2 linked regions of the Tamandua tetradactyla genome follow. The protein of the gene in region 2 interacts with the protein of the main gene of each other region in a pairwise test. Links are inferred from orthologs where the notes say so. Each region holds a gene or a part of one and is shown on either strand. Other genes may lie near its edges.

Region 1 (15,767 bases), on a different chromosome or scaffold from region 2:
CTTTTTTGTATATATGTTATTTTTCTCAAAAAAGAAAAGTTGATTGTGATGATAAATGCACACAAAAAAAGAAGCGATAATAATAAGAAAAAGAATTGGAAGATTTCCAGATATACAGCAGAGGAAGGGCATTCCAGGCAGAGAAAACAGCATAGATAAAAGCATATCAACCAGAAAAGTACTTTGTATAGAGGAACTGGAAGCAGTTTACAATTAGTAGTGGGGTAGGGCAGATTATGATCTCCCACACAGTACCTTTTTGTAAATAAAGTAGATAATTATTTATTAAAAAAAAAAGATCTGTGGCAAAGACAATGACATGGTTAAATATAAATGTCACTACTATTATATTTATTTCCAACTCTACTTTTTTTTTTAAATTCCTATCAGATCTACAAGGCAAATGCATGAAATGTAATCATAAATCAATGGTTTTGGAATCACAATTCTTTGTGACAAGAACTATATAAAGATGTAGGAGTAAGGGATCCAGGAACACGGTTTATGTATGCTAATGAAGTTAAGTAGGTATTAAGGCAAGCAAGATTATTATAGATTTAAGATGTTAAATTTAAGCCCTATGGTAACCACAAAGAAAATATCAGAGAATATGTAAACTCACAGAGAAAGAAAGTAGAGTACAGGTTATCAGGGATACAGGGTAGGGGCAATGAAGAGTTAAGGCAAAATGAGTACAGGTTTTCTGTGGGGGGGAAACGGAAAGTTATCATAATGGATGGTGGTGAGAGTACACAATATTGTGAATATGATTAATCCCACTGAATGGTAATGTTTGGGAAGCTTTGAATGTGAAGATTTGTTACACAAATACTTCCACAATTAAAAAAAAAAAGAAAAAATTCTGTCTCACATCTTTCTAGAAAAATAATGCTCTCCTTTCTCCTTTGTATTTCAGAGTACTAATGTCTAGAAATTACTCTCATCAAAGCTTCACATACGTTTAATTAGATTCAAAACAAATGTTTCCAATCTTTATGTCAAATAAAGAAATGGTCCTTGGGTATCAAGTAGTTGTGCGTTCAAAAGCAACTCTACATTCTAATGGGAATTAGGCTACATCTAAGAAATAAATCTCAATAGCTCTTTCTAAATGACTCCATTAAGGAAAATACTTAGCCAGATGTGCTACCCATACCCATTAACAATACCTCTATTAACCTCCAAACCTAAATAAGCAACTTCAAACTGTGTTACTGCAAGTGAAGCTATTTTTAACAATTGCCCTCACCATGGAACTGTGAAGGTCAGTACACTTGGGCTTTAGCAAAAAGAAAGACATTGAGAAAAAGTCAGTCTTCAAACAGTGTATCCTCTTCTAATTAAAACCTGGGATCCATCAAGCTAAGCAAAGCAACTGTTCCTTTTCCTTTCTCAAGGCATCTGAGCTGAAAGATACTCTTTTTTTCTTCAAAAGAACTTATAAGGCAGAATTACAGCAAAATTACCTACTGGAATATCACATTTTTAGGTCAAAACTACTAACAGAATTTATTTAACAAGCTAAGGGATATCCAAGTTCAATAAAAGGCCATAGAAAGATAATTCCAGAATCAAACAACCAAAAGTTTTGTAGTAACAGTGGATTTCCCTCCAGCATGTTTTGAGATTGTGAAGTTTAATTATTTGTAATGATTACTAAGCAGTCTTCTGCAAACCTTCCTCCAAATAATTAAAACACAAATGTGGTTTTCAAACAAAAGGTTCTTTACCTTGTTATTCTGATGGTGAAGGAAAACAGTTACACATCCTGTTGATGAAGCTGCTACGATTCTTTCCTGGTCCAAAAACTAAGTAGAAAAATGCTGCTTATTATGGATTCAAAAACATTAGTAGGGAGGAAACCCATTTGTTCAATTCAATCAGTATCAAACTGTATAACAAATTTAAAGAGAGCTCGTGTATGCTAAGCAAATAAAATGCAATAATAGATTTAAGACGCAAAAACTTCTAGACAAATAATACTATTTTCATGAATAATAAATAACAGCATTTTTTCCCTAAACTCCTTTGCTTGCAACTGATTTAATTTTTAGCCATTACAATAAAGATTTAGAAAAATATTTCCAGGGATAGACAGTTTTTTATAGAATAAAATACAGGGATGTTAAAGTTATACAGACTTAATTCTATACTTAATTCCAGCCCTATCACTTACTACTGACTCTTAGACAATGGACAAATAAATTAAGCTCTCCAAGGCTTGTAAACCTTTGAAATGGGAGCGCTTATTTCTTTATGGGGGGGGGGGGGGGGAGAATTCAAAAAGCAAAACCTTGTAAATTGCCTTGCCCAGTGTTTGTCAAAAGGCATATATGCTCAACAGAAGTTCTTGAGCATATAGTTTTCACACTGGTAAAACAAATAACAAAAGTTGATTCACAGACGTGAAACGAGGGTTAAGTTTGTGTAAGCTCCCAAAACAGTGTTTGGCACTTGTTAGCTGGTTAACTGATAAAAAACTGTGATTAAATCTATATTTCCCGCCTGAGTTCTGATTTTGCCACTATATACTTTTATGACGTTAGCAAAATCATTCAGCCCACAGAGGCTGTAACGAAAGGTGAGACTAGAAAAAACTTTAAGGTATTTTTTTTTTTGGTGGGTGAGGGTGTTGCATGGTCCCCAAATCGAACCCGGTCTCGCACATGAAAGGCGAGCATTCTACTACTGAACCACCCGTGTACCTTTTATGATGCTTTTTTTTTTTTTTTTATCTTTAAGTGTATCTCTCAGTTGTTTTAACAATTCGTAGATACTACACAGACTTACCTGCAAATCCATGACATCACCATGGTGTCTGATATCACACAATAACTGATGGTCTCCTCCAAAACCTCCATCAGAGTCCAAGTTTCCAAAATCTCCAATAGACCACAGGGAAACATAATTTTCCTGTAAAGCAGAAAGTTTTGTCTTGAAGCAAAAGAAGCATCAACCCTGGGAAATTAAAATTCGTACGCCCTCAGGCAACCTTGCATCAAAATCACCTCAATAAACAGTAACGGTTAAGTTCAGACCATTAAGAGGTACGACATTCAGGCATTCTATTGCCGGCTCTGAGCACCAGGCAACAGAGCCCGAGATAGTCCCCCGACTCGGAGAAGGTAGGAACAGCTAGCGGGCGAGAACTGGCTCGGGAGGCCGGGCCGCAGATGCAGGGGGCCCAAGTGTGGGGAAAGGCTGTCGCTAGGGTCGAGGTACCTCGTTGTCCCAAGAGCCTGTAGCGAAGGTCTCCGCGGTCTGTAGGCTCCCCGGGGGCACGGGCCTCCAACGGGTTTTGCTGATTTTCTGAGACACAAACTTGGCGTAAAATTCCTCCATGCCAGAAGCAGAAATGGCAAGCACTGCCGCGCGCGCTCTAAGCCCTGTCCTTCACCCTGATTGGATGGGACATAGATGGGATGGTGTCTGAGGAGGGCCAATCTTCCTCCTTGGGCGAAGAAGACCGGATTGGTCCTAGCACCCAAGCTGGCAGGGGTGGCCGGTAGGAAACTATCAACCCAAGCTAGCAGGGGCGGCTCTGACAAGGGTGCCTTACGGTTTTGTGCTGTAGGGTCAGCTCTTAACCGGCAAAATGACTACAGGAAGGCTGAGAGAGTGTATTTGTGCAATAAGTGTGCAATGTAAAATGAATTTTAAGGGCAAAACCAAAATCAGTGCAGGAGAAACCACCTTGTAATGATATCTAAGTATTCAGTTGCACTTCACCGCGTATAGAAATACGCAAGATCCTTACCGTTCTCACGGAGGTACCTCTACTAATGCACCAACTTATTATCAAAACCTCTCCCTCTTTGCCCCCAAACAAATCTTTTGTTTCACATTTGTTAATAACACATTGTCAGAGTCCGGCGTTGGAATTCTTAAGACTCTAGGTCTAATTTGCAGCCCATTGCCTAGCTGTAACCCTGGTCAATTCATTTACGTATTAATAAAGAATGAATATGGTGATATCGAAAGTCAACAGCCTAGGAATTAGTTTTCTAGGTTCCTTCTCCTGTGCCTTTAGTTATACCTATAACATCCATTCTTCTTCCTTTCCCAGAATCTTGCTCACCTTTCAAGCATTAGTTCCTTCAGCTATCTTTTCCTGATTACCACAGTCCATGATGATCTATATAAACATAGCACTGGTTATCTACAGCACTGATGGTACTTATATTTTGCTTTCTATTGCTAGTTTTCCTTTGGCACAGATCTCCTCAATTAGAACGTAAATCCAATTTCATACAAGAGGTGTAAATTCTTCATCTTTTTATCTCCTTTACATTATAGGTATTCATAACTGTATCTCCTGTTTTTTTAGAACGCCGATGATACTTTCTTGCTCTTATTTTTATCTGGTAGTCCTATTCGACAACTACAGCTTATGGAATCACCACATGTGAATTCAATCCACCCAGGCCAGCTTTAGAGAGTTATCAGGTTCCTATCAATGACTTGACATTTTTTTCCCCTAACAAGAAGACCATCAGGAAGTTGCAGAGAGCAAGGCAAACTATTAGAATTCCAAACTGACCATTTTATTTCTAATATTCAAGTAGAGCACACTGTTTTGAGTGTTTATGATCACATGATGCCAGAAAAAAAGGTAAGGTCTAAGTATATTTCAGGTTGGAAATCAGATTCATGTCACATTTAGCAAAGTCTGTTAAGAATTAGAACCTGAACAATGAAACTGGCACAGTAGTATAGATGTCTCGGTATAGCTTTGCTTCCTTCCTTAAAAGTGTACTGGACCAAGTGATGGTTGGGTTCTACTAGCCTCGGTTCTGATTAGGAGTCAGCATTTTTTTTTCCATACTCAGAATATTTATTAGATAGTACCCCATGGGGCCTGCAGGAGAAGGGTACCAGACTGCACTCCTTCCCCTTTTGCAAGCCACCCCCCTGAATCAAGGGTCAGGATTCTAAGGGAATCAGATGTCTCAAATAAGTAAGAATGTATCTGGGGGGAAAAAGATCATTCATTCCCCACACCTGACAATACAATTATATGTGTTTCCCAGGAAGAGAGGGTGCCAGTGAGAGTGATGAATAGATGAGATGAAGAGAAACAGAATGGGCCCTTCTTTGTCACAGCCTGGGCTTGGAGAAGGACTGGAGTAAACAAGTATTATAAAGGAAAGGAAATGAGAGAAAAGATGGAGGTCAGGGGTTGGGTTCACTTAGATCACACAGCTTTGTAGAAAAAACCTAAGCAGCAACTTGAGTTCTCAGGTTGGGACAGGGAGTTGTGGGCTCATCACTTGGAGAAAGGAGAATCCAAGGGGCTGTCTTCCAATCAGACTGTGATTAGATACAGGAGTCAGCATTTTGTCTGAGACAGGCAATGTTCCCTGACAGCTTCTCGCTCATCGTCTGCAGAGCTGATAGCAACAAAGTCGGTGCCCAGTCTAACGGTGGAATTTGTGAGTCTTCAGCATACTGTGGGATTTTTAACCAATTGTAGATCTTCAAATGTGCGTTGTTTCAAGGGGCAAAACACCCAATCCCTACATCCTTTATCATGATATAATTTTCTGTCTGAATTTGTGCTTTAGAAGTGACAACAAACGAGGATAGCAAGCTTTCTGCTAACCAGCGCTGTCCCAAGCCCGAGTCAGATCCTACAGACTCCACCATCCGGAGCTGGGGTTCTACCCTAGCTACTGGGCTGGGTGAGGCAGGGCGGGGGAAGCCCACCGCTTAACAACGTGGACAGTTATAGGAGCAGCCCCGTGGCTCGCAACAGCTGACCGAGAGGCGACTGCGGAACTACCAGTGACCGTGGTGAAGCAGACCGGCCGCAAAATCGCTCTGCACTGGGACAAGAGCGAGGGTCTCCAGGATCGACCAGAGGAAAGCCCGAGGAAAGGCGATGCGCAGCGAGAGACTCGGGAGATTGCACCACCCATCCAGCCTCGGGGGAGTCCTGGGAAGGCGCCTCCTCGGCCCCACCCGGCCCCGCCCAGAGCGCGGCGTCACAGGGCGCATGCGTGCCCCGGGGCATGCCGGGAGCGCGCAGTGGCGGCAGCAGCGGCGGCGGCTCCGGCGGAGACGCGGGCGGGGTGGTGACCGTGTGGGAGGTGGTGTCACTCCTGGGGAAGCTGCTGGGCACCGTCGCCGCGCTGAAGGTGGTTCTGTACCTGCTCCGGGTGTGCCTAGCGATGGCCTGGAAATCCGGCGGCGCCAGCCACTCGGAGCTCATCCACAATCTCCGCAGTAAGTGCCGCCTCCACCGCACCGGCGGCCGGGCCTGGACTGACCCCGGTCCGGCCGCGACGTTGTGTCCCCCTGCTGCGGAGGGCCTCAGCTCCCTAACTGCTAGTGTGTGCGACCTCCCCCCGCCTCCTCCGACGAAGACCTGTCACTTAACGGCGACGTGGAGGAGAGGTGGGGGCGTGGAGGGCCGGGTGGCCCAGGTGGGGCGGAGGCTGTCCGCGGAGTCAGCCGCCTGCTGTCTTGAGTCCCGCGGCGGGGGGCGTTCGTTGGGGTAAGATGGTATTGCCAGGCTTCCGGAAGCTGGGCAGGACTGAGGGGACCCCAGCCTTGCCCCCCGCATTTTCTCGCTTTCCTTCTGCTCTAAAGTCGACCTCATTGCAAGCTTTCCCTCCTGTTCTGCCTCCCCCGCCCTCTGCTTTTTCCCCTGGAGGAAGATGCCACCGTCTGATATAGGCGAGGGGAGGGAGAGGAAGATGAGAATATTGCCGTAGAAGAGGCTGGGAGAAATTTCTCGGGCGTCTGCCCAGTGCAGTGCTTTGTGAGGGGTGGAGGATGAGAGAGGGCATGCTGTTTTTGCTAGACTTGTATTCAGGACCCTTTAGGGGTCCTGGGACCCAGCAAACGATTGTGTGTGTGTGTGTGTGTGTGTGTGTGTGTGTGTGTGTGTGTGAATATTCTAACTTTTTTCAGGAGTATCATATGCTTTAACAACCTTGTATGGAAGTTTCTTTATACCATTCTCTTTATTCTTTCTTCTGAAGATAATTTTAGGGTGGGATGAATGCTGTGTCACTTTCTTTTTTTAAGTTGAAATATCGTGTCGCCGTCTGTTCGCAAGATCCGCAGGACTGCTGTCCATAATGATCTCATTCTAATCAGAGCTTATAGCACTCTCTTTGCCGCTTATTTTGCAAATAATCATATTTTGTCACGTGGTATTTTTAATTGTCATGTTATTTAACTTTTCATGTGTTTGTCATATCTCCCAACTCTCTAATCTTCTTGAGGATTTCTAATCCTCTCAAATAACTTAATACTCATAACATTTCCTAAAAATACCAATTAAATATCTCTTATATGCTTAGTTTTATGGTGGGAATACAAAGATGAATGAGGGAAGTATTTAATACTGTCCTGCACATGCTTGGTATTTAATATTAGTCATTGACCTTTGTTTGGCAGTACTTAGAATGTAGAAATTGTCTTAGTGTTTAGCAAAGAATTAATAGATTTCAAAATTCTGTCATTGTCAATTCTCAGTTTATGAAAGGATAGTTAATTGGAAATAGTGAAAATGCTGAGACAGTCATGTGGTGAAGGTTCCCATGATTGCGTATATGTTCAATATATCGTAAATACATTTATAAAATTGCTTAATGTGCTCCAGGTGCTTATTATTGCAGTGTACACACCTTAAATATTCTATATATAAATTGTGATTAAGTATTTTTCCCAAAGTAGGTTATCCCAGTAGACAGTTGGCTGTGGCAGAAATTTGTAATTGGGCTCTTAAAATCTCTCCTTTTTGGGCGTCAAATTTGTGCTAAGCCAAGACTAACTCTTTTCCCAGTGAGTTTACTATCATTTTGATGTATCAATTACTGTTCTTAGCTGAAAAGTCTAAGATGTTTTTCTGTCAAAAAATTTATTTAATATGCATGGATGTTAAAATTGCAGATATTTAGTTTGATACTTAGATCTGTGGTTTCTAAAGGAATTAGAGTACTCAAGTTGCTTAACCTCTTTTGTAACACTCCTGCAACTTCAGTTTCAACTTCTTGCTGAGGTAATTTTAGCTAATAGATTTCTTTTTTATTGTTATAAAAGTAATATTTGTTCATGTGAAAATTTCAGTTTGTGCGAAATTGAAAATTCCACCTTCCTGGTTATTTCACTGTTCCTAAAAATCCTTTGAAAGGTATGAACATTTGATTATGTTGATGTTGAAGTGAAAAAGGATCTGCAAATTAGAAATGGGAACGAATTAAGGAAATTACAATTTTAATGGTTTTTCAAAGGAAATGAGATTCATAATGAATTGTTTTATTACTTGTTCTTGTTTACTAGCTGCCCAAATGCAATGTACCAGAAATGGAATGGCTTTTAAAAAAGGAAATTTAATAAGTTGCTAGTTTACAGTTCTAGTGCTGAGAAAATGTCCCAATTAAAAAAAGTTTATAGAAATGTCCAATCTAAGGAATCCAGGGAAAGATACCTTGCTTCAAGAAGACTGATGAAGTTCAGGGTTTCTTTCTGAAGTGGAAAGGCATGTGATGAACACGGAGTCATCTGCTAGCTTGGTCTCCTGGCTTCCTGTTTCCTGAAGCTTCCTGAGAGGCATTTTCCTTCTCCATTTCCAAGGTTACTGGCTGGTGGGCTCTCTGCTTCTCGTGGCTATGTTGTTCTGCTCTCTCTTAGAATCTCTCTCATTCTCTAAAATGTTTCCTCTTTTATAGGATTCCAGTAAACTAATCAAGACCCACCCAAATGGGCAGAGACACTTCCACCTAATCCAGCTTAACAACCACTGTTGATTAAATCACATCTCCAGGGAGATGATCTAATTACAGTTTCAAGCATACAATGCTGAATAAGGATTAGAAGAAACGATTACCTTTACAAAATGGGATTAGGATTAAAACATGGCTTTTCTAGGATACATACATCATGTCAAAGCAGCACAATACTTTTATACTAATTTATTGAAAATATTTACTGTTATTTTTAATTATAAGACATCATAGTAAAAACATAGTTTTAAATGACCTAGACTGGAATGGTTACTATCTTAATATCTTAGTTTATATTATAATGAGAACTCTGTCACTGAGCTACCATGGCCCGCCTAATGAAATTGCTTTTTAGTAACTTGGAACAGTGGTTCTAAAACTTGAGTATCTTCAAAATTTTCAGAATCACCTGGAGAGCTTGTTAAAAGCAAATCACTAGTGCCCAACAATTTATATTTCTACTAAGTTTCCAAGTGATGCTGATTCTGCTGGTCCAGGAACCACTGTCTTTGAGAAATGAAAATGACATTAAACTTTGCCACCATTTTAGTGGAATCTTTTTTTTTTCCTGCATTTTTCACCTTTTTATTCATAAGTTCCCCAGGCTGTAAACATATTCTGTTTTTTTAAATGATCATTAAAATACTTCAGTGTTTATTCAGGACCAATCCAATAATAGAACTTTTCCCCAGTGAAAGCATACAAAAAAAATTGTATTAAGGCTGTCCAAACAATTTGAATGAATTTAATGGTTACTTTATGGGGTGGATTTTCAAAACAACATCTTTCATCAGAATGCTAAAGTTTGGTGGGAAAGTATAGACCCACATTTTTTAAAACTGGTTTCTTCCTTCATTTATTCAGTAATTTTTAATTTTTTTTATTGTAAAAATTAACATATACCCAAAAAGCAATAAATATCAGAGCACACCACAACACTGAGTTGTAGAACAGATTTCAGAGATTTACTTCTACCTGCTCCAAGACATGGGAGATTAAAAGAAGTATCAATATAATGATTCAGTAGACATACTCATTTGTTAAATCCTACCTTTTCTATTGTAACTCCACCTTCCCCTTTGGTCTTTGTCCCAATTTTTAGGGGTATTTGGGCTGTGCCCATTCTAACTTTTTCATGTTGGAAAGAGCTGTTGATAATAAGGGATGGAAGACGGAACTAGTTGATGTTCTGAAGAGGCTTGCCCCTCTGGGTTTCAGGATTTAATTGGCCTGGGAACCCACCTGGAAGCTGTAGATTTCCGGAAAGTTATCTTAGTGCATGGAACCTTTGTAGAGTCTCAGATAAAGCCCTAGGTGTTCTTTAGGGTTGGCAGGAATGGTTTTGGTTGGGGGTCACCAAACCATGATAAATAGCAATGTCTAGCTGAAGCTTGCTTACAAGTAGCCTCCAGAGTAGCCTCTCAATGCTATTTGAACTCCCTCAGCCAATGGTACCTTATTTGTTACAGTTCTTTTCCCCTTTTGGTCAGGAAGGCAATGTCAATCCCATGGTACCAGGGCCAGTTCATCCGTGGGAGTCAGCTCCCACCTTACAAAGCAGAATTTCATCCCTGGATGTCATGTCCTACGTAGGGGGGACAGGAATGATTTCACTTGCTGAGGTGGACTTAGAGAGAGGGGGGGCCACATCTGAGCAACAAAAGAGGTCTTCTGTAAGTAACTCAGTCATACCTATAGGTAGGCTAAGCTCTACACTACATAAATAAGCTTCAGAAGAGCAAGCCTCAAGATCAAGGTTTTGGCCTACTGACTTGGGAGTTCCTAATGTTTAAGACATTATCAGGGGTTTCCCCAGTAGTAAAGTTTAATAGTTTCATATTTTTTCTCCCATTGCTCAAGGGATTTTGACAATACCTTTTAACTATCTGTTCAACATACTCTGGGATATATCCAGACATTACATAAAGTTATATGGGTTTACAAGCCTTCATTTCCATTCTGGGCTCCCTGTGTTTGGGTTGTTTATATGATCTATAAAGGTAGATTGAATAGGATTACGCGCTACAGAAAATTTAGATTCTGGACAAAATAAACTTCTCTTCCTTTAGTCTCATAGAGTAGATAAAGTTCTAAATTCAGACAATTAGACTCACATTTGATGGCATAAATATTTCAAAATGTTGAAACTGTTTTTTTCCCAAGTCTTTCTGTTTGAAATTTGTACCAGAAATTGATATGAAAATAAATTATAAAACAGGAGAAAATGTATGTTTTGAATGACAACAGTTTCACTGCCTTATAATCATTTCTTTAGCATAGATTAAAAATCTTTTTATACCCTTGGTTCCAAGATCATGCATTTCTCTTTTTTTTTAAATTAATTTATTTAAGTAAAAAAAATTAACAAACGAACTAAAACATTGACATGTGATCATTCCATTCTACATATATAATCAGTAATTCACAATATCATCACTTAGTTGCATATTCATCATTTCTTAGAACGTTTGCATCAATTCAGAAAAAGAAATAAAAAGACAACAGGAAAAGAAATAAAACAAAAACAGAAAAAAAAAGATTATACATACCATGCCCCAACCCCTGACGTTCATTAATCACTAGCATTTCAAACTAAATTTATTTTAACATTTGTTCCCCGATTATTTATTTATTTATTTAATTTTATTTTTTATTAATTAAAAAAATTGTAAGAAAGAAATGCAAACATCCTTAATATATACTCATTCCGTTCTACATATATAATCAGTAATTCACATATCATCACATAGTTGCATAATCATCATCATGATCATTTCTTGGAACGTTTGCATCTCTTCAGAAAAAGAAATAAAACGAACACAGAAAAAAAATTTATACATACCATACCCCATACCCTCCCTTTCATTGGTCACTAGCATTTCAAACTGAATTTATTTTAACATTTGTTCCCCCACAAATGTCCATTTGTGTCCTTGGCCTCGTGTCCTTTGAGTAGAGACAGCATATAGATGGGTCCTGTTTTTTAATCCATTCTACCAGACTATGTCTTTTGATTGGAGAGTTGAATCCATTAACATTCAGTGTTATTACTGCATGGGTAGTACTTTCTTCTCCTATTTTGCCTTCTGGATTTTATATGTCCTATCTAATTTTCCTTCTTTTTACCTTTACTCATAGTCTTCCTTTCTACACTCTTGTCCACACCTCTCTCTTCTGTCTTCGTATCTGTCTCTAGTGTTCCCTTTAGTATTTCTTGCAGAGCTGGTCTCTTGGTCACAAATTCTCTCAGTGATTTTTTTTTTTTTCACAATCACACAGTCACACTGTGAAAGCTTTATCATTATACAATCATCTTCAAGAAACATGGCTACTGGAACACAGCTCTACATCTTCAGGCAGGTAGCTCCAGGCTGTCCATTACATCTTTAAAAAAATTTTTTTTTATTATATTGTTTGAAATACCAAAAAACACCAAACAAACGCAAACATTCCTGTTTTGATCATTCCGTTCTACATATATAACCAGTAATTCACAATATCATCACATAGTTGCATATTCATCATCATGATCATTTCTTGGAACATTTGCATCTATTCAGAAAAAAATGAAACGAAAACAGAAAAAAAATTTATACATACCATACCCCTTTCATTGATCACTAGTATTTCAAACTAAATTTATTTTAACATTTGTTTCCCCTATTATTTATTTTTATTCCATATGTTCTACTCCTCTGTTGACAATGTAGAAAAAAGGAGCATCGGGCACAAGGTTTTCACAATCACACAGTCACACTGTGAAAGCTTTATCATTATACAATCATTTTCAAGAAACATGGCTACTGGAACACAGCTCTACATCTTCAGGCAGGTACCTCCAGCCTCTCCATTACATCTTGAATAACAAGGTGATATCTACTTAAAGCGTAAGAATAACTTTTGGAATCTCTCAGCCATTGACACTTTATTTTGTCTCATTTCCCTCTTCCCCCTTTTGGTCGAGAAAGTTTTCTCAATCCCTAGATGCTAAGTTTCAGCTCATTCTAGGGTTTTTCTCAATCCCTTAATGCTGAGTCATTAATTAATGCTGCATTAATGCTGAGTCCCTTAATGCAGATATATAATTATTGTCATACCCCAAGCCTCACTCTAGGATCTCTGTCCCACGTTGCCAGGAAGGTCCACACCCCTGGGAGTCATGTCCCACACAGAGAGGGGGAGGGTGGTGAGACTGCTCCTCATGTTGGCTAGAGGGAGAGGCCACATCTGAGCAACAAAAGAGGCTCTCTTGGGGGTGACTCTTAGGCCTAAATTTTAAGTAGACTTGACCTATCTTTTGTGGGGTTAAGTTTCATATGAACAAACCCCAAGACTGGGGACTCAGCCTATAGCTTTGGTTGTCCCCACTGCTTTTGAGAATATCAGGAATTCAACTTGGGGAAGTTGAATTTCTCCCCACTCTCACCATTCCCCGAAGGGGGCTTTGCAAATACTTTTCCACTCAGTGATCGAATCACTCTGGGATTCCTTGGACAAACCAACAAAATCTCATGTCCTACCTGAGATTCCAAGTACTTATGGTGTTCAATCAGACTATCTACATAAGTTATATTAGCAAATGCACTAGTCAAAATATAAATTTTGTAACAAACATTTTTTGCTTTAGTCTCACACATAAGGTGACATTTTAAAATATTAATTACCATCTATTTTCAGCACCCCGCAATAATGACATTCCTTTGTTTTTCCTCATGCAGAAACATTTTTAAAATTTGTACATTTAGTCACTATTATTATACACTATAGGCATTCCTAGATTATACCATCTCAATCTTCAACATCTACCTTTCTTTCTGATTTCATTTATGTCCCCAGCCCTTCTCCCTCTATCATTCTCACATGCAGCTTCATTCAGTGTTTTAACATAATTACATTACAGTTAGGTAGTATTGTGCTGTTCATTTCTGAGTTTTTGTAGCATTAATTTTTTAAAGAACAACTTTGAGATATAATCTACCTACCATGCAATTCACCCATTTAAAGTGTACAATTCCATGGTCTTTTCAGTATATTCATAAAGTTCTGCAACCATCACCATAATCAATTTAGGGTATTTTCATCACCTCAAAGAAAAACACCTGTACCCAACAGCAGTCACTCCCCAGTACCCCCACCCCACGGCTAGTGCTAAACAACCACTAATCTGCTTTCTGTCTCTACAGATTTCCCTATGATGGACACTCCACATAAAGGAAATCATGCAAAAATATAGTCCTCTGATTCTGGCTTCTTTCACTCAGCAAAAAGTTTCAAGATTCATCTTTGCAGCATGGTATTAGTATTTCATTCACTTCTATTGCCAAATAATATTCCATTGTACGGATATGCCACATCGAGTTGATTGATTTGATTAATTCTTGGACTTTTAAGTTGCTTCCACCTCTTGGCTACTGTAAATAGTCCTGCTGTGAACATTTTTGCACAAGGTTTTGCATGGTCATGTGTTTTCATTCCTCTTGGGTATACACTAGAAGTGGAACTGCTGGGTTATATGGTAACTCGATATTTAACTTTTTGAGGAACTACCAGACTGTTTTCCAAAGGGGCTGCACCCATTTTTCCACATCCTAGGCAATACTTACTATTTGTCTATTAAATCAAAGCCATCCTCGTGGGTGTGAAGTAGTACCTCATTCTGGTTTTGATTTGCCTTTCTTAAGGATGCTTAAAGATGTTGAACATCTTGTCATATTCTAACCGGACATTGGTATATCTTGTTTGGAGAAATATCTATTCAGATGTTTTGCCCAGTTCAATCAAGTCATTTCCCTTGCGTTACTGAGCTGTAGGAGTTCTTTATATATTATATATATATATCTCTATAACAGAGATATAGATATATCTCTGTTAGCAGATATATAATTATTGTCATGCCCCAAGCCCCAGATGAGTATCTTGCCCCTATCAGGCACTCAATAAATATTTGCAGGAATCAACACTGACAATCTCCCAGGCACTCTGTTCGGGGCTGGGCACACGCTATTGCTCTCCAGAGGCTCATCTTCTAGTTGGGGAGACAGACATAAAAGGTAGGCAAGCAAATAACTACAAATCCTGGTAAGCCGTGAAGATAGAAGGGGAAGTGGAGCGTGCATGAGAATGGAGCTGAGGGATGCGTCTCTGAAACGTGATGTGAGCGAGGTGAAAAGGTTGAAAGCGGGTGAAAAGTATACGAGCAGTAGAGAACTGCAGGTCCCAAGGTCCCAAAGAGCTGAGGAGAAGGCTTGTTCCAAGAACGGAAGGAAAGAAGTCCCAGAGAGCTGGGGCACAAGCGTGCCAGGGCTTCGGAGCCTACGAGGACCCTGGACTCGATGCAAAACGCAGCAGGGAGAGGGTTCTCAAAGGTTTCAGCAGAGACTGAGCATGCTGGGCTTTCTGTTTTTAAAGCCAGCTGTTGCACACACAGTTTTCAGCAACACTTGCCACACCCCTCATTTGCCCAGTGGCTGTGGCTGCTGTCTGCTGGGACAGACCCGAAGGCCGCAAAGCTGAAGATACTTAAGGCGACCGCTCAGGGCAGCCCCGTCCCTCACCCCAGGTCCAAGCTAACCCAGACGCTGCTGACTTCGTGTCCAAGTCCCATCGCTCGGCCCCACGCCCACTTCCCCGGGCTGCGCGGACCCCACCGCAGTCTCCTCATTGGCCGGTTTCAGCCCACCGGGCGCCGGACCGCGCGCCCATCGACACTTTCCGGGCCCTCCCTGCTGAGGAAGGGCGCCCGCCGCTCTGCCAGGTCCCCGAGATTCCTCTGCGGACCGCTTTCCCAAGCACTTCCCACCGCACCGACCTCCTACCCAGCTGCGGTGGGCCCATGGCGCCGGCCCTCACAGGCCCCTCCCCTGCGCTCCTTCCAGGCCTCCCTCCCCCGCCTCCGCCCTGCCCCGCGACCTCAGTGATTTTTTTGTCTGAAAGGGTTTTAATTTCTCCCTCATTTTTGAAGGACAGTTTTGCTGGATATAGAATTCTTGGTGGGCAGTTTTTCTCTTTTAATAATTTAAATATATCATCCCA
Region 2 (15,767 bases):
GATCTAACACACATACACAGAACAATGCACCCCAAAAGAGCAGAATATGCATCCTTTTCAAGTGCCCATGGATTATTCTCCAGGACAGACTGCATGGGTCACAAAACAAGTCTCAATAAATTTAGAAAGATTGGAACTAAACAAGACACTTTCTCTGATCATAATGAATGAAGCTGGGAATCAACAACAGGTAGAGGATTGAAAAATGCATAAAACTATGGAAGTTCAACAACATACCCTTAAACAATCAGTGGGTCAAAGAAGAAACTGCAAGAGAAATCAGTAAATATCTCAAGATGAATGAAAACTACAATATAACATTTCAAAACTTATGGGATGCAGAAAAGGCAATGCTGAGAGAGAAATTTTAGCCCTAAATGCCTACATTAAAGAAGAGCTAAAATCAGAGCCCTGACTGCTCACCTGGAGGAATTAGAAAAAGAAGAGCAAACTAATGTCAAAGCTGCAGAAAGGAACAAATAACAAAGATTAGAGATGAAATTGAAGAAACAGTAACAATAAAAAAGAGAATCAACAAAATCAAAACTGGTTCTTTGAGAAGATCAACAAAAGCAGCAAGACCTTAGGTAGACTGACAAAAAAATAAGAGAAGACCCAAATAAATAAAATCAGAAATGAAAGGGGAGGTATTACTACTGACCCCACAGAAATAAAAGGGGTAAGAGGATACTATGAACATCTGTATGGCAACAAACTAGACAACTTAGATGAAATGAATAATTTTCTAGACACACCCCACACTGGCTCCAGAAGAAACAGAAGAGCTCAATAAACCAGTCACAAGTAAAGAGACTGAAACAGTCAACAAAACATCCCAACAAAGCAAAGCTCAATACCAGATGGCTTCATAGGGGATTTCCACCATTCACTCCAAGAATTAATACGATTCCTACTTAAATTCTTCCAAAAAATTGAAGGGGAAACACTATCTAACAAATTCTATGAAACCAACATCAACCTAACACCAAAGCCAGATAAAGACACTGCAAGAAAGGTAAACTACAGCCCAATCTCACTAACGCATTCACAATCCAAAAATCCTCCACAAAATACTCTCAAATCAAATCCAACAGTACATTAAAATTACTATACACCACAATCAAATGGGTTTTATTCCAGGTATGTTGGGGTGGTTCAACCCAAGAAAACCAACTAATGACAATACATCATATTAACAATCGAAGAATCATGTGATCATCTCAATTAACATAGAAAAGGCATTTGACATTTGCCTTGCTAGGTGTATACCCAGAAGAACTGAATGCAGGGACATGAACAGACATTTGCACACCAATGTTCATAGTGGCACTATTCACAATTATCAAAAGATGGAAACCAGGTATCCATCAACCAATGAATGGATAAACAAAATATGGTAAATACAAACAATGGAAAATTATGCAGCATAAGAAGAAATGAAGTCATGACGCATGTGACTACATAGATGGACCTTGAGGATATTATGTTGTGCGAAATGTCCAGACACAAAAGGACATATATTGTATGACCTCACTAACATGAACTAAATATGACTTACAAACTCATGATGGTGTTGTGTCTAGAATGTAGGTCACCAGAAGATAGAATGAGGGCAGAAAATGGGAAACTGATGCTTAATTTGTCCAGAACATGTAATATGGTTGAATTGTAAATGTTTGGAAATGTATGGAAATTACGGTAGCACATTATATAGCAAGTGTAACTAAAACAATGATATGTGGGTGTGACTGGTTGAAAGGGGTTGTTCAGGGTTGAGTATGTTACTATAAGGAAAGCCAAAGGATGAAATATGGGACTTGATAACATAATGAACCCTCTTCAGATTGAAAATGTTCTAGAATTGATTGTGATGATGAATGCACAACTGTTTATATACTAGAAGACACTGAATGTACATATTAGATGGATTTCACAGTATGTGAATTTAGCTCAATAAAACTGCTTTAAAAGATAAAAAATTTAAGAAAAAAATTTTTAAAGTAAAAAATTAAGAAAATCAAAAGACAATTTCCAAAAGGCAAAGAAAATTCACCACATTAAATAACAAATAAAAATGCTGGACAAAGTAAATTCACCACAAGTCATTCTGACTTTAGTCTCCTCAGGACACCAGGATTACAACTGCAAAAAAGGCAGTGCAAAGACTGCTCATTTTCTACTGTACAAAGGAGGAACTATGGTAGCTTCGACCCCTGGGTGCCCACCCATCTGGCTCAGAGTCCCCAAGAGGATTAACACAAGGAGCCCTAACAGTATATACTATCCTAACCCTGTCCAGTCTACCTGGAACCCCTGCTTCCACTCCCTACTCTAAAGGGCTAGATTTCTACACATGGCTTTTGTCCATTCACCAGACTTGGTGGCAGGCCAGTGCTCAGCTCCTCCAGCCTTCAGGACTAGGAAGGATTCTGAAGATGTCTTGGCTGTATAAAACTAAGTCCACGGAGTCCAAGGAGCAGCAATACCTTCAAGTTTAACCTGCTCTCCCAGTTCATATTATCATCTTGACCAATCCAATGAGACTGTACACATATCTTTCCCCACAATGGCCAGGGAGGAAAGGTGGAATGACTCAATTCCTTCCACTTCCTTAAGTCCACTCTTCCCTTATTTTTCCCTCTATTTAACCAGCTCTGCTGCACTCCCCCATCAGTCTCTACTCTTACAGCAAAAGAGCTTTAGACATGGAATTGATATACTATAATTGCATTACTAACAACATTTAATTTTTTAGCCTGTTTTTTCATCTATAAATGAGGACAGTATTCCTGAAGAAAGATACCACATGATCACTTCTAAATACTCCACATGGTCACTTCTAAATAATGCAAGGCCACTAAAAAAGTTCACTGAGTAAATAAACTAATGAATCTAAAACCAAATTTACAATGAGCAAACTCTGGTCAATAAAATCTCCTGTTTCTGACTCTCTCATCTAGAACAACCCTGGTACACCATGCAAAGCCCCATGTCCACATCCTCAGGGAACCAGAAGATTCAGCATCAGTTGTGCCACGATGCAGAACGGAAAGCAGGACATACCTGGAAGGAAGTGGGAATACAGACGAGGTTCAGATTCTCTTGCTTGACTCTTTCAGCTGTGGAGACAGGAGCCGTTTTGGTGGGTTTTCATTCTTTTCACTTTATTTTTATTATCACATTAGGTCTGTTCAAATCCAACTGTGAGGAAAACGTCTGTCTCCCACTGACAGCTGCCTTTCATTCTGTGTCCCCACCCATGGTGAAAAGCTGGTGACTGCCCTTCAGGCCCAAGACAGGAACTCTACAATGCCTGTGGAGGTTAATATTAACCACACAAAGTGCACCATAATGTTTGCTACTATTATGTCCAAGCAGTATTCTAAGAACTTTGTACATACAAACTCTTTTAAGCCTAACAACCCAAAAGGTAAGTTATGATTACTGTTCCTATTTAACAGATGAGAAAACTGAAGACTGGGAAAGTGAAGTAACTTGCTAATTATGCAGCTAGTAAGTCTGCAGAGCTGGGCTATGATGCCAAGCAATCTAACATCAATCTTAACTAGTACCCTCTATGGCCTTTTCAAGGAACTAAAGCTTTACTTCCCTTTTCAAGGAACTAAAGCTTTACTTCCGTGTTAGTGAAAAAATATATAATCATTTGTAGGCCCCAGAACAGTAATTAAAGGAGGTTTATTTACTCTTTATTAATTTGTTCCATGCAGGAAAGCGTCATTTAAAAAAGTTCAAAACTACCCTATTAACTATCTTTTGTTGAGGTGTATTTTGGTTAGGTTTAGATACCACTATTATGAAATTCACAGTAATTCCTATGATCTAAAAGCCTCTGCATACTAAAGTCAAAAGACATACAACACTAAAGCTCCTTCTTGGCCAATAAGAAGATTCCAGAAGACATCACACCAGCACCTCAAACGCTCCTGAAGGACCAAGTGTTCAGGGAACTGTCCACTTGGTAGCTAGAAGCAGAGGTCACGATTCAGGTCAGGCTTTCCTGTGGTCTCTGTTCTTACAAACAAAAGCAGAGCAGTAAAACCAGTTGAGCTGCCACAGAAGCTGACAATCCCTGAGCCTTTCATAAGCACAGTTGCCCCAATCAGAATGAAGTCAGCACTGAAAGAACCAGCCACCAACAGGAGACTCATATCCACCCCAGGGTCATGGACAGGGCAAACGCCAAATCTGTCCTCAATTTGTCAGCTGAGATTGCCTGAAGAACGTGCAAACTTCAGTGGGCAAGCTCAGGATCCCTGGGACCCCAAAGAACCACTGATAGCAGTGTGACACAAAGATGATTAGAATTCTGTTAAAATCTTACCCTAAATCAGCTCTCCCCTCCAGGTGAGCAGAGTCCACAAGGCCAAGGGCAGCCCTGAAATTTGGTTGAAGAGGCCCAGGAAAGCCTCTCTCCAGAAGAGAACAGAAACACTCAACTGACCTCACTCTGCACTGCCTGAACCAAGGAGGGCAGGTACTAAACCTATGTCCCCAACCTCCCCAACCTTTCCTAGCTCCCAGCTCCCCATCACTCCACACAAGCATTCAGGAGACAGAACAGGAACACACCTATTCGTTGTACAGCATGGACAATTGTAGAACCACTTCCAATTCCCAGGACTTGGTTATCCTGCCAAAAAAGAGGAGAAAACAACATTTTAATTATTATTAATATCAAATTTTACTTCCTCTTCAGCCTATTTCCTAGATCTATGAAAATTAGTTGACGGACAGCAATTCATCATTAACGGACAAGGAAGGTACTACAACTATTTTACAGAAACTTAAGTGTTGAGATTCAACACTGCACTTTATCCTGATAACCAGTGGGCAATGTAACAGTAGAGCCATCCTCTCCATCTCCGACACTGCCAACATCACCACTTCCTCCCTGCTTCACACCAGACAAAATCATCGGCTTAACCACTCACATCACACAGCACACAAGGTATATGCGCCTCACAGACATGGCCTGCAGACAAACACGGAAAGGTTCTGGCTAATTCCAGGCAGGGAATCAAAAGAGAAAGGAAAACGCAGAGCCTGTTGCACACTAACAACAGAAAACTGGGGTTTCAAGTTTCCACGAGAAGGCAGGCGAATGACCACCTGCACCTTTATGTTCATTGGTGGCCTTGCAGGGAACCTCAGGGACATCAGGGCCCCCACCCAGGGGGCCCTCAAAGCCAGCAGGGCAGTTGGGAGAGTCTAAAGTGTTAAAAGAATTGTAACCAAGAAGTTAGGTTTTGAGGGATGATTATATTTCCTAAATCATTTTATCAATATTCTTTTTTACTTTCTGGAATATTAATATAAACAGAGGGAAATGTCCCAAATCCCTGAACTGTAATTCAGCTGCCCTGATATCTAATAATGATTGCAAAAGCCCTTATCTTGTGCCTTCATGATTGTAAGAGCGGTCACTCTCTTTATCAGGTCATTTTCTTAAAATAACTTGTAGGGATAAGACCCTAATGCTAATGAATTTAAATTTGCCATTAAATAGTTTCAGCCTTTTACATTTTCAAATTGCATCTGCTCAACTCCTCCTTTTCTGTTTAGAACCAGCTATTTGAAATTGTATGACCTCATACAACCTTGAAGAATCTATAAAAAATCTTGAAGCCCCTAAACTTCAAGAGACAGATTTTAGGTCACTAGGCAACCTGATCTCCTGCTATGCAACTAGTAATAAACGCTTTCTCTCTTTGAAACCCGTGTCTCAGGAATCGGTCATTTGAGGATGGTCAAAAGAATCCACTGCCTTTGTCTGGTAACAGAAATAAAAACAAAATAGAGTGTTTATGTCTAAGAGATTTCAAATGATGTTGGGAGGTCATTCTGGAGGTTACTCTTAAGCAGATATCAGGGCATGCAAGGCCTCCAGCAACAATGTTCCTGAAAACCCTAAGGATATCCAAACACCATAAACAAACCACAAGATAAAGAATTCAGTTAACTATTTTTTTAACTTTTTTTATTAATTAAAAAAAAATTAACAAACAAAACATTTAAATATCATTCCATTCTACATATACAATCAGTAATTCTTAATATCATCACACAGTTGCATATTCATCATTTCTTAGTACATCTGCATCAATTTGGAAAAAGAAATAAAAAGACAACAGAAAAAGAAATAAAATGATAATAGAGAAAAAAACTATACGTACCATACCCCTTACCCCTCGCTTTCATTTACCACTATTGCAAACTGAATTTATTTTAACATTTGTTCCCCCTATTATTTCTTTTTATTCCATATGTTCTACTCTTCTGTTGATATAGTAGCTAAAAGGAGCATCGGACATAAGGTTTTCACATTCACAGAGTCTCATTGTGAAAGCTGTATCATTGTTCAATCATCATCAAGAAGCATGGCTACTGGAACACAGCACTACATTTTCAGGCAATTCCCTCCAGCCTCTCCACTACATTCAGTTAACTATTTAATCTGAAAGATAGCTGGAGTACCCCCAAATATCCACTGACCATAAACAACCTGCATAATCTTTCCATGTGAAAGCCCTTGCCTGGAAATGCCAAGGTGGGCCAGGATTCGGTTGCTACGTGAATCTGTGCCGAACTGCAATTCTAAGACCCCAAATGAATGCCTTTATTGCCTTGAAGTTTAGTTTGTTATTTCTTGGTTGACAGAAGTAAACCTCAATACACTCAGGCACACCAGCACCTACCCAGACGAGACCAAGGGGATCCCATTTTGCAAGAGCCCACCCCAGAGAACATGGAAGGAAGGCATATTAGGGACATGAGCTACAGACTCATATAGGGAGGCTGTATGACAGGGGCAGAGCACTTCCTGAGTAGAAAGGGAAAGAAAGGCCTCTCACAAAGGCAGAGCCATATAAGAAAGGAGGAAGACACCGATTAGCAGACAAGAGGCAGACCACTAGCAAGTACAGCTCAATCTGATCACAAACAGAAAGACAAGGTCAGGAACCAACCGTCAGGAAGTTTAGTTCGGAGGCAACATCCAGGGAACAACCTCCTGCTAATCTAAGGCAAAATTAGTAGAAACCAAAAGCAGGCAGTTACCAGGAAGTTTTATAAATATTGATACAAATTACACCTCACGACAACCCCTTAAAACCTAGAGATCTACTATCCTTATCTTGGAGATGACTGCAACACAGTCTGGAAACATTTAAGACCCTGAAGTGAGCAAGAGCTTACAGGGTATGTGTTCAAGGAACTGCTGGAGGCTCCACCCTGAATCTAAGGGGTGTGGGCCTTTGTCTTTGATTAGCCTATTTTACAACTCTAAGGATTAAGAGCAGAACATACAAAACTCAGCTGATCTTGGTACCTCAGGAAAGAAGCTGGCAGGGAAACTGGGTACAACTGGGGTGGGGTGAGATGCAAGTGTTTCCTGGTTCTAGTCTGAGGAGGCAGCTTGCAGTTTTTTCATTTAACCAAACACATAGCTATAAAACAATGATCCTGGAAGCATATGCCACCAAATATTAATATAAACAGGTTATCTGGAAAGCTTAAGACTTAGGGCTTCTCTTCCAAGAGATTTCATTTATCTGTCTACTACCAATTCAAGGTATCCAAAACCTTCTGAAATTTCAGTTTATTATCCGAGGCCATGAAGCCAAACAGAGGGCCAGATTATAAATATTACATTATCTCTGTGAATTCTCCTAAAAAATCCTCTCACTAACCAGGAATGCCATAAGCTACACCAGAAAGGCGAAGGTACGGGAGTCACTCCGTTTGAGGTCTCCGGGACCTTCGGCCACTCCACAGGTTACCACACTGGTTCTTTCCGCTTAAGCTATTTCAACGCTCAAGCTTTACCCAATACTAAACCACTTTACACAGCAAAGCGCTGACAAATGTAAAGAACTATCATTACGGGAGACAAGGGAACCCAGTACCACTTTCTAAGTAAAACAGGGGGTGAGAGAAAGCCAAAACGGCCAGGAAAAACGCCACTACAGGGCACAGGTACTCCATTTGGCTGCAAAGTACTATAATTAACTTAATTGGTGATAAATCCACCCGGGCTGAAAGACGCCACTAACAGCACCTGGATCTCACACCTAACAACCTCACTCTGAGGGAGAGCACCCGCCAGACCTCACGGGCCCGCCGGGTCAAGGAGGGAGGTTCGAGCGCCCGAGCGCCGGGTCTCCAGCCTTGGTTCTGCCGGCCGGCACGTGCCACGCGGGGAATCGACTAAGAAGAACTTCAAAGACTCGCGAGCCAGCCGTCCGCAGGCTTGCCGGCAGCCCCAGAATACGACCATTTTCCTTTGCTGACCCAGGCGGCCAGTCCCTTCTAGCCCGCGTCCCAGAGACCCGACACCACCAGGTTCCACTTCACAAACTGTTGGCCGGCCTGAACACGGAGCCTTCAGCGAGCTCAACTTCTGGGGAGCTCGCCCCCAACCCACGATACATCTAAGAGCTGGGGAAGACACCGCACGCCCCCTCCCCGCGCACGTGCAACGGCCGTGCCCAGGGAGCGCACGACGAGCCCACCGAGCTGGGAGCAGGCGCCCCGCGCGGCTCACCCTCACGTGGTTCTCCACAGCCGCGCGACCCGCCAGCCTTTTGGCCTCCTCGGCTTTGGACATCGTGGAAGGGGCAGAGAAGACGCGACCACCACCGCCCCTGCCACGAGCACCCGGACTGCCCGCGCCGCCGTGAGGCCGGGAGTCCGCGCGTCCCAGTGGATGCACGTGGAAGCCCGGGGCGCCCCAGCTGCTCGCGCCTCCGCCCGAGGCCGCGCCCCCGGCCCGCCCGGGCAGCGGGGCCAAGACCCGCCCGTAGAGGGTGCTGAAGGGCCCGGGGCGCTGCATCCCGACGCCGAGCTCCCGCCTCCGCCGCGATCCCGCCCTGGCTCGCCCAGTGTCTGCCCATGCGCATAGCCCGCTCCCACTGCCGCGCCGGGCTCCCCGGGAAATGTAGTTCTCGGGGCCCCGCGGTCCGTAGCCGCGCTCTCACCGGAACTACCAGCCCCACGGTGCTCCGCGGCTGGTGCGCAGTTCGCCGGTTGCCGGCTTCCGAGGCGGGCAGTGCGACCCTGATGGCTGTGGTCTGAGCGTCGTGCCTGCCTTTCTCCTGGGAAGATATGTTTGTTGTTGGATGCATCTCTCTGATCTGTGCGCCCGTGCGGACAGGCGTGTTGGAGCGGACACATTAGCTTTCCCAGCACTGAAGACCTGTCGTGGTCGAGACCTCAGGGCAGTGGCTCATTTGGAGACGCTCTTAGGCCCCAGCGCCGGCTGAAATCCGTCCTCAGACCCGGCAGGCGCAGGACCACATGTTCCGAATCTCCTGCCGTAGACGTTGCATGGCGTGCTTCGCCCTGGTGGAGTTGGCCCATAAGTACAAGTGTGACTTGCAGTCCTTGGAGACTCGAGAACTAACTGAATTTAACAACTCTCTCTCCTCTATCGTTAAGATGCTTAGGAAATAGTTAAGGGTGGGAAATTGTTACCGTCCCTATTTTACAAGCGAGGAAATTGATGCTTCCGCAACCATACCGACCACTTGGAGGTCCTTAAAAGCACGTGACTCTGCCTTTGTACTGCTGGTCCTTGTTGGTGAAATCCCATGAACTCGCCTTCATACTCTTGTCCAGTATGGACCGCTGTCGCCGCCCTCATTGCCTCAGTTTTCTTTACTGTGCTGTCAGCCCCAGGTCGTCCACTTTGGTCTGCAGAAGGAAAAATTCTTTGAGGCGATGTTTAAATTCTTGACTTTTAGGTGGAATTCAGAGATTAGCAGGATAAAATATCTGGACCCTACTTCTGTGGGTCCCTGCAGAGTTGAAACTTTTGACCTTGCTGAAAGCCCTTGGTGCCAGTCTTTTCCCCGTTCAGGCACCCTGGGTCCTTAGCACACATACGAAGAGGTTGGTAGATCAAGTGTTAGTGTCCAGTCTTTACCCTCTAGCCTCCGAGCCTTTCACTAGGACTTCCCACCACCTGAAATGCTCTTCTTACAACCCCCCCACCCCCCCCACCCACCGCACATCTTTGCACTGCCAGCTTCTTCCTGTGGGTCAGGCGCAGCTAAATTGACACTTCCTTAAGGAAATCTTCCTGACCACTCCATCTAAATTAGGGCACCCACCTAGCCTCTACCACTTTACCTATCCTAAAACTGTCCTTGTTCACTTCTTTGGTTTTGTACTTGCTTATCATCTATCTCCCTCTTTAAAAGCATCTCTGAGATGGTTTTTTCTCTTTTACCTACTGCATCTTTCAGTCCCCTTAAACACTGACATGTAGATGGCACTCAATAAATGTCTAAGGCATGATGCAATAATAAATAGATTTTATGCCTCTATTCCACACTGTACCTTCAGCCATATAGAATTTCCGTCTCCACAACCTGTGCTCTTACTTCCATGTCTTTGCACACCCTGTACACCTTTCTTGCTCCCGGAGTTCTTGGAGACTCCACTCAGTTACTACATTGCAAACATGAACCCTGCCATCGTTGGGTTGGGTACTCCCTATGTGCCCCCAGACACCTTGTACTCTGCCATTATTATCTTGCTCTGTTCACTTGATTTTCTCACTCAAAGGACTACAGTCCCTTGAGGCAGTTCCCCATAGGATGCACAGTGCATGGCTCAATACTTCACAAGTGAGTAATGTCCTACAAAGGTCCACCTGTTTGGGCTACTTTGTTTCTCATTTCTTCTTGTCTCCCTTCTCTCTGTCCACATTCATGTCTTCATTCCTTCCCCCTTTTAACCCTCCTTCCCAATATAGTTATCCCCTCATTAGCTTGTCTATCAGAATATCAGAAGTCTTGCCCCACCTCTTGGGAGAGGATTTGAGAAAGAATGTTTTACAGCATTATACTACAGACCAAATTGCTTAGGTTCACTCTCTCCCACTCTGTCACTTCCTGCTTTCCCACCTCCTTTCACTCTCCCTTCCCTCTTTCTGTCCTCCAAAGTGTTGATTTTGAAGGTGATTCACAGGTAAAACGGTAGGAAGCTGCAAAGCAGATGTTGGGATGGATTTGAGCATCTTGGGAGAGATTGAAGTGGTGCTGGCTCAAATTCACTTCAGGCTAGAGCTTGAATTACCCGTTTATTCAGCACCTAGACCAACTTAGAAACAAACTCAAGCTACCCCACCCCCACCCCATACCCTTGGAATAATCTTTTGGAGCCTCAACATGTGCCCTTTTGTTCCGTGAGGGCTGGTTTATTGTCTACTAATAATTTTGACCAACCATTAAGGCCTTGGGAGAGCCTGGGGCCTTATTATTCCTGGTGAGCCTAATGATCAGAATGAGTCGTGGTTAACATTTTAGTGTTATAGCCTTACTCTGTACTTATCACTGGAAAGCAGCATAATGCTGCTTGCTTTATCAAAACCAAGTCTTATTGATGGCTGACCAAGCCCATGGTCCTGAAGAAAATGCGTATAGAACAATTCCTTAGGGCTATGCAGATCATTCCTTAGATATACGTCAAGCTACCAGTGGTGGATTATTTGTGCACCCCACTTTGGACATGCTGTTGGTCTTGATCCACAGTCTGGTGTTATTTTTAGTTAAGGTGCGGCCAACTGAATCAGTTTGGGTTTTAATCTGGATTACTGGAGTTCCTTAAAGCAGAATAAAATTCAGACTTAGAAAAAGCCACAAGTAGGACCCAGAATCCAGGGGTGAAACAAGACATGGCCAAATGACGGAAAAGCCAAGAACCAAGGATCAGGGCAGGCAGCCCCAGAATGACAGTCTTCTGGGAGAGAACATTGCCTTGTTGAAAACATTATTTTTCCATCATTGTAGACTTCTAGCCTCAAAACCATGAGCCAATAATTTTGTTTGTTTATATGTTTGAGCCGACCTATTGTATGGTATTTGTTTTAGCTGCCAGGAAAACTAATATACTGCCTTTTGATATTTTTAAAATAGGGATTGTTAAATGGGAGTGATTTGGTCCCTCAGGGGATATTTGGCAATGTCTGGAAACAATTTTTTTTAATTAGAAAATAGTTTGTATTCTCTACATACAAAGTATTCTCTAAGTAAAGGTTAGAGAACAACAAATATTTTTTTAATATAAAATATAAAAATACAAATATATTTCTCCCATTTTTTGCTGGTCTTTTGACTTTGTTTATAGTGTGCTTTATATACAAACATTTTATATTTTAATATTGTAATCATCACTAATTTCTTTGCCAAAGTCATGAACATATTCTCCCATATTTTCTTCCAATACTTTTGTGTGTTAAGGCTTTTACTCCATCTGGACTTTAATTTTGCGAATGGTAGAAATCTGACTTTATTTTTTTTAATTAGATTAATAGCTAACTGTCTTACTATCTATTGACTAATAGGTTCTTTACCTGTTACTTGAAATGCTACTTTTATTGTATCTTAATTCCTTCATATACATGAAATTTTAGTTTCCTACTATGCCTGTAACAAATTACGTGCAAACTAATAGCACAATTTTATAATCTGATAGTTCTGGAGGCCAGAGCGTGAAATATCTCACTGGGCAAAAATAAAGATGTCCTCAGGGTTGCATTCCTCTGGAGACACTATGTTCCTGCACTTTCTCCTGCTTCTAGAGGTTCCTTGCCTCCATGGCTCATAACTGCTCACACCATTGTCTGATTTATTTAGTAGTTTGAGTTTTTTCCCCCTTATTAGAGAAGTTGTAGGTTTACAAAAAAAATCATGCATAAAATAATGGATCCCTAAAAATCACCTAATGTTAACATCGCACATTGGGATGCATTGGGATGGAACATTTCTTACACATGATAGCACATTTTTATAATCATACTATTAACTATATTACATGGTTTAACGTAGGGTTTACTGTGTAGTGTTATTCTATGGATTTATTTTTAATTTTTATCCTGTTACCGTATGTAATAATGCAACATTTCCCCTTTGAATACTTGCAGATATATATTTCAGTACTGGTAGTTAAATTCACAGAGTTTTATCACCATTGCCACTGGCCATTACCAAAATATTTTTGTCATTCTAAATAGGAATCCTGTATATTTTAAGCTTTAACTTCCTATTCCCTATTGCCACACTGGGCTGGGTAACCTATGTTCTAGATTCTAACTCTATGAGTTTGCTTATTCTAATTATTTCACATCGGTGAGATCATTTAATGTTTTTCCTTTTGTGTCTGGCTTATTTCATTCAACATATTGTCTTCAGTGTTAAACCATGTTGTCATGTCTATCAGGATTTCATTCCCTTTTGCAACTGAATAATTTTCCATTTATATATATATATATATATATATATATACTACATTTTATTTATTCATCAGTTGATGCCACTGTGAACATGATGTGCAAATAGTTTGAGTGCCTGCTTTCATTTCTTTGGAGTATATGCTTAAATTAAAAGTGTGATTGTCAGATTATATGGTTAGCTTTCTGAGGAACCACCTACTATCTTCTACAATGGCTGCACCATTGAGTCCTCCAACTTCATTCTTCTTTTTCAATATAGCTTTAGCTATTCAGGGCCTGTCCCTTGGTACCCTACATTCTAGCTTCTGACTCTGAATTTGCTTGTTCTAATTATTTCATATCAGTGAGATCACACAATATTTGTCCTTTTGTTTCTGGCTTATTTCAAAATGATGCCTTCGGTGTTCATCCCTGTTTTTATTTCCATATAAATATGATGATTGGGTTTTCAGTCTCTGCAAAGAAGGGTATTGAAATTTTGATTGGGAGTACATTGAATGTAAAAATTGCTTGGAGTAAGATTGATATCTTAATGAGTTTTAGCCTTTCCGTTCATGAAAAAGGAATGTCTTTCCATTTATTTAGTTCTCCTTTGATTTCTTTTAGCAAAGTTTTGTAATTTTCTACATACAAGTCTTACACATCCTTGGTTAGATTTATTTCCAGATATTTTATTCTTTTAGTTGCTATTGTGAATGGAATTTTTTTTCCCAGTTTTTCATTGCTTGTGTATATAAACACTACTGATATTTGGATGTTGATCTTGTAGCCTGCTACTTTGCTGAACTCGTTTGTTCTAGTTTGCTAGCTGTCGGAATGCAACACACCAGAGACAGATTGGCTTTTAATAAAAGGGGATTTATTTTGTTGGTTCTTCAGAGGAAAGGCAGCTAATTTTCCACCGAGGTTCTTTCTTACGTGGAAGGCACAGGATGGTCTCTGCTGGTCTTCTCTCCAGGCCCCTGGGTTCCAACAACTTTCCCCGGGGTGACTTCTTTCTGCATCTCCAAAGGTCTGGACTGAGCTGCGAGTGCTGAGATGAGGAATGCCGAGCTGCTTAAGCTGTGCTACATTGCGTTTTCTCATTTAAGCACAAGTCAGTTAAGTCAAACATCACTCATTGCAGCAGACACGCCTCCTAGCTGACTGCATATGTAATTGGCAACAGATGAGGTTCACGTACCATTTGCTTGTGTCCGCAGCAACAGAACTAGGTACGCTCACCTGGCCAAGTTGACAACTGAATCTAACTAACACATCGTTTTATTAGCTCTAGGAGCTTTGTTGTGGATTTTTCAGGATTTTCTGTTTATAGAATCGGGATATATGCAAGCAGGGATAGTTTTACTTTTTTTTTTTTCTAATTTTGTTTCCTTTTATTTCTTTTTCTTGCCTAATTGCTTCATCAAGAACTTCCAGTACAGTGTTGAATAAAAGTGGTGACAGTGGGCATCCTTGTCTTCTTCCTGTTCTTAGAGGTAAAGCTTTCAGTCTTTCACCATTAAGTAGGATGTTAGTACAGGCTTCTGTTTAGGTCCTTTATTATGTTGAAGTCTTCTTCTGCTCCTAATGTTCTAAGTGCTTTTATCAAGAAGGGCTGCTGGATTTTGTTAATCCTATTTTCTGCATCAACTGAGATGTACATGTGGTTTTTTCCCATTCTTTTTGTTAATGTGCTATATTCATTGATTTTCTTATATCAAAGCACTGTTGTATACCAGGATAATTCCCACCTGGTTGTGGTGGTGTAATTGTTTTAATATGCTGTTGGATTTGGTTTGCAGGTATTTTGTTGAGGATTTTTGCATCTATATTCATAAGAGATATTAGTCTATAATTTTATCTTTTTTTTGTAGTATCTTTATCTGGCTTTGGTATAAGGGTAATGATGGCCTTGTAAAATGAATTAGAGAGTGTTCCATCCTCTTCAATTTTTTGGAAGAGGTTGAGAAGAATAGAAGTTGTCTTCTTGGAATGTTTGGAAATTTCCCCAATGAAGCCATTTGGTCCTGGCCTTTCCTTTGTTGGTAGGTTTTTGATTACTGAGTCAATCTCTGAAATGTTAATTGGTTTATTGAGATCTTCTGTTTCTTCTGATGTCAATGTAGGCAGTTCATGTATTTCTAACAATTTGACCATTTCTTTTAGGTTATCTAATATATTGGCTAACAGTTGTTCAGTATACCCATGTATAGTCTTTTTTATTTTAGCCGGATCAGTAGTAATGTCCCCGTTTCACTTTTGATTTTAGTTATTTGTATCTTCTATGTTTTTTACTTTGTCAGTCTGCTAAAGGTTTGTCAATTTTATTGATTTTTTCAAGGAACCAACTTCTGTTTGGTTTTGTTGATGACCTCTGTTGCTTTATTTTTCCATTACATTTATCCTTCCTCTAATCTCTGTTATTTCCTTCCTTCTGCTCACTTTGAGTTTAGTTTGCTCTTCTTTTTCTAGTTCTTCCAGTGTCTTTATTTTTCTGTTTTAATAGTTTGGTGGGCACTATATTGTCTTT

Evidence for each region.
Region 1: the proteins of RPIA (region 2) and PCMT1 interact in binary tests that used the Homo sapiens proteins (3 or more experiments, as listed by UniProt). The two-hybrid records come from large-scale screens. The link is inferred for Tamandua tetradactyla from reciprocal best matches to the Homo sapiens genes RPIA and PCMT1.

The regions. Positions count from the first base shown.
Region 1 is NC_135328.1:141,295,169-141,310,935, forward strand, and holds the start of PCMT1 (protein-L-isoaspartate(D-aspartate) O-methyltransferase), read left to right. Parts: upstream 1-6,011; coding exon 6,012-6,225; intron 6,226-15,767. Other genes in the region: nucleoporin Nup43, read right to left, coding at 1,731-1,808, 2,791-2,913, 3,223-3,342. UniProt on the Homo sapiens protein: Initiates the repair of damaged proteins by catalyzing methyl esterification of L-isoaspartyl and D-aspartyl residues produced by spontaneous isomerization and racemization of L-aspartyl and L-asparaginyl residues in aging peptides and proteins.
Region 2 is NC_135343.1:62,577,925-62,593,691, reverse strand, and holds the start of RPIA (ribose-5-phosphate isomerase), read right to left. Parts: upstream 8,852-15,767; coding exon 8,564-8,851; intron 4,652-8,563; coding exon 4,591-4,651; intron 3,120-4,590; coding exon 3,064-3,119; intron 1-3,063. UniProt on the Homo sapiens protein: Catalyzes the reversible conversion of ribose-5-phosphate to ribulose 5-phosphate and participates in the first step of the non-oxidative branch of the pentose phosphate pathway.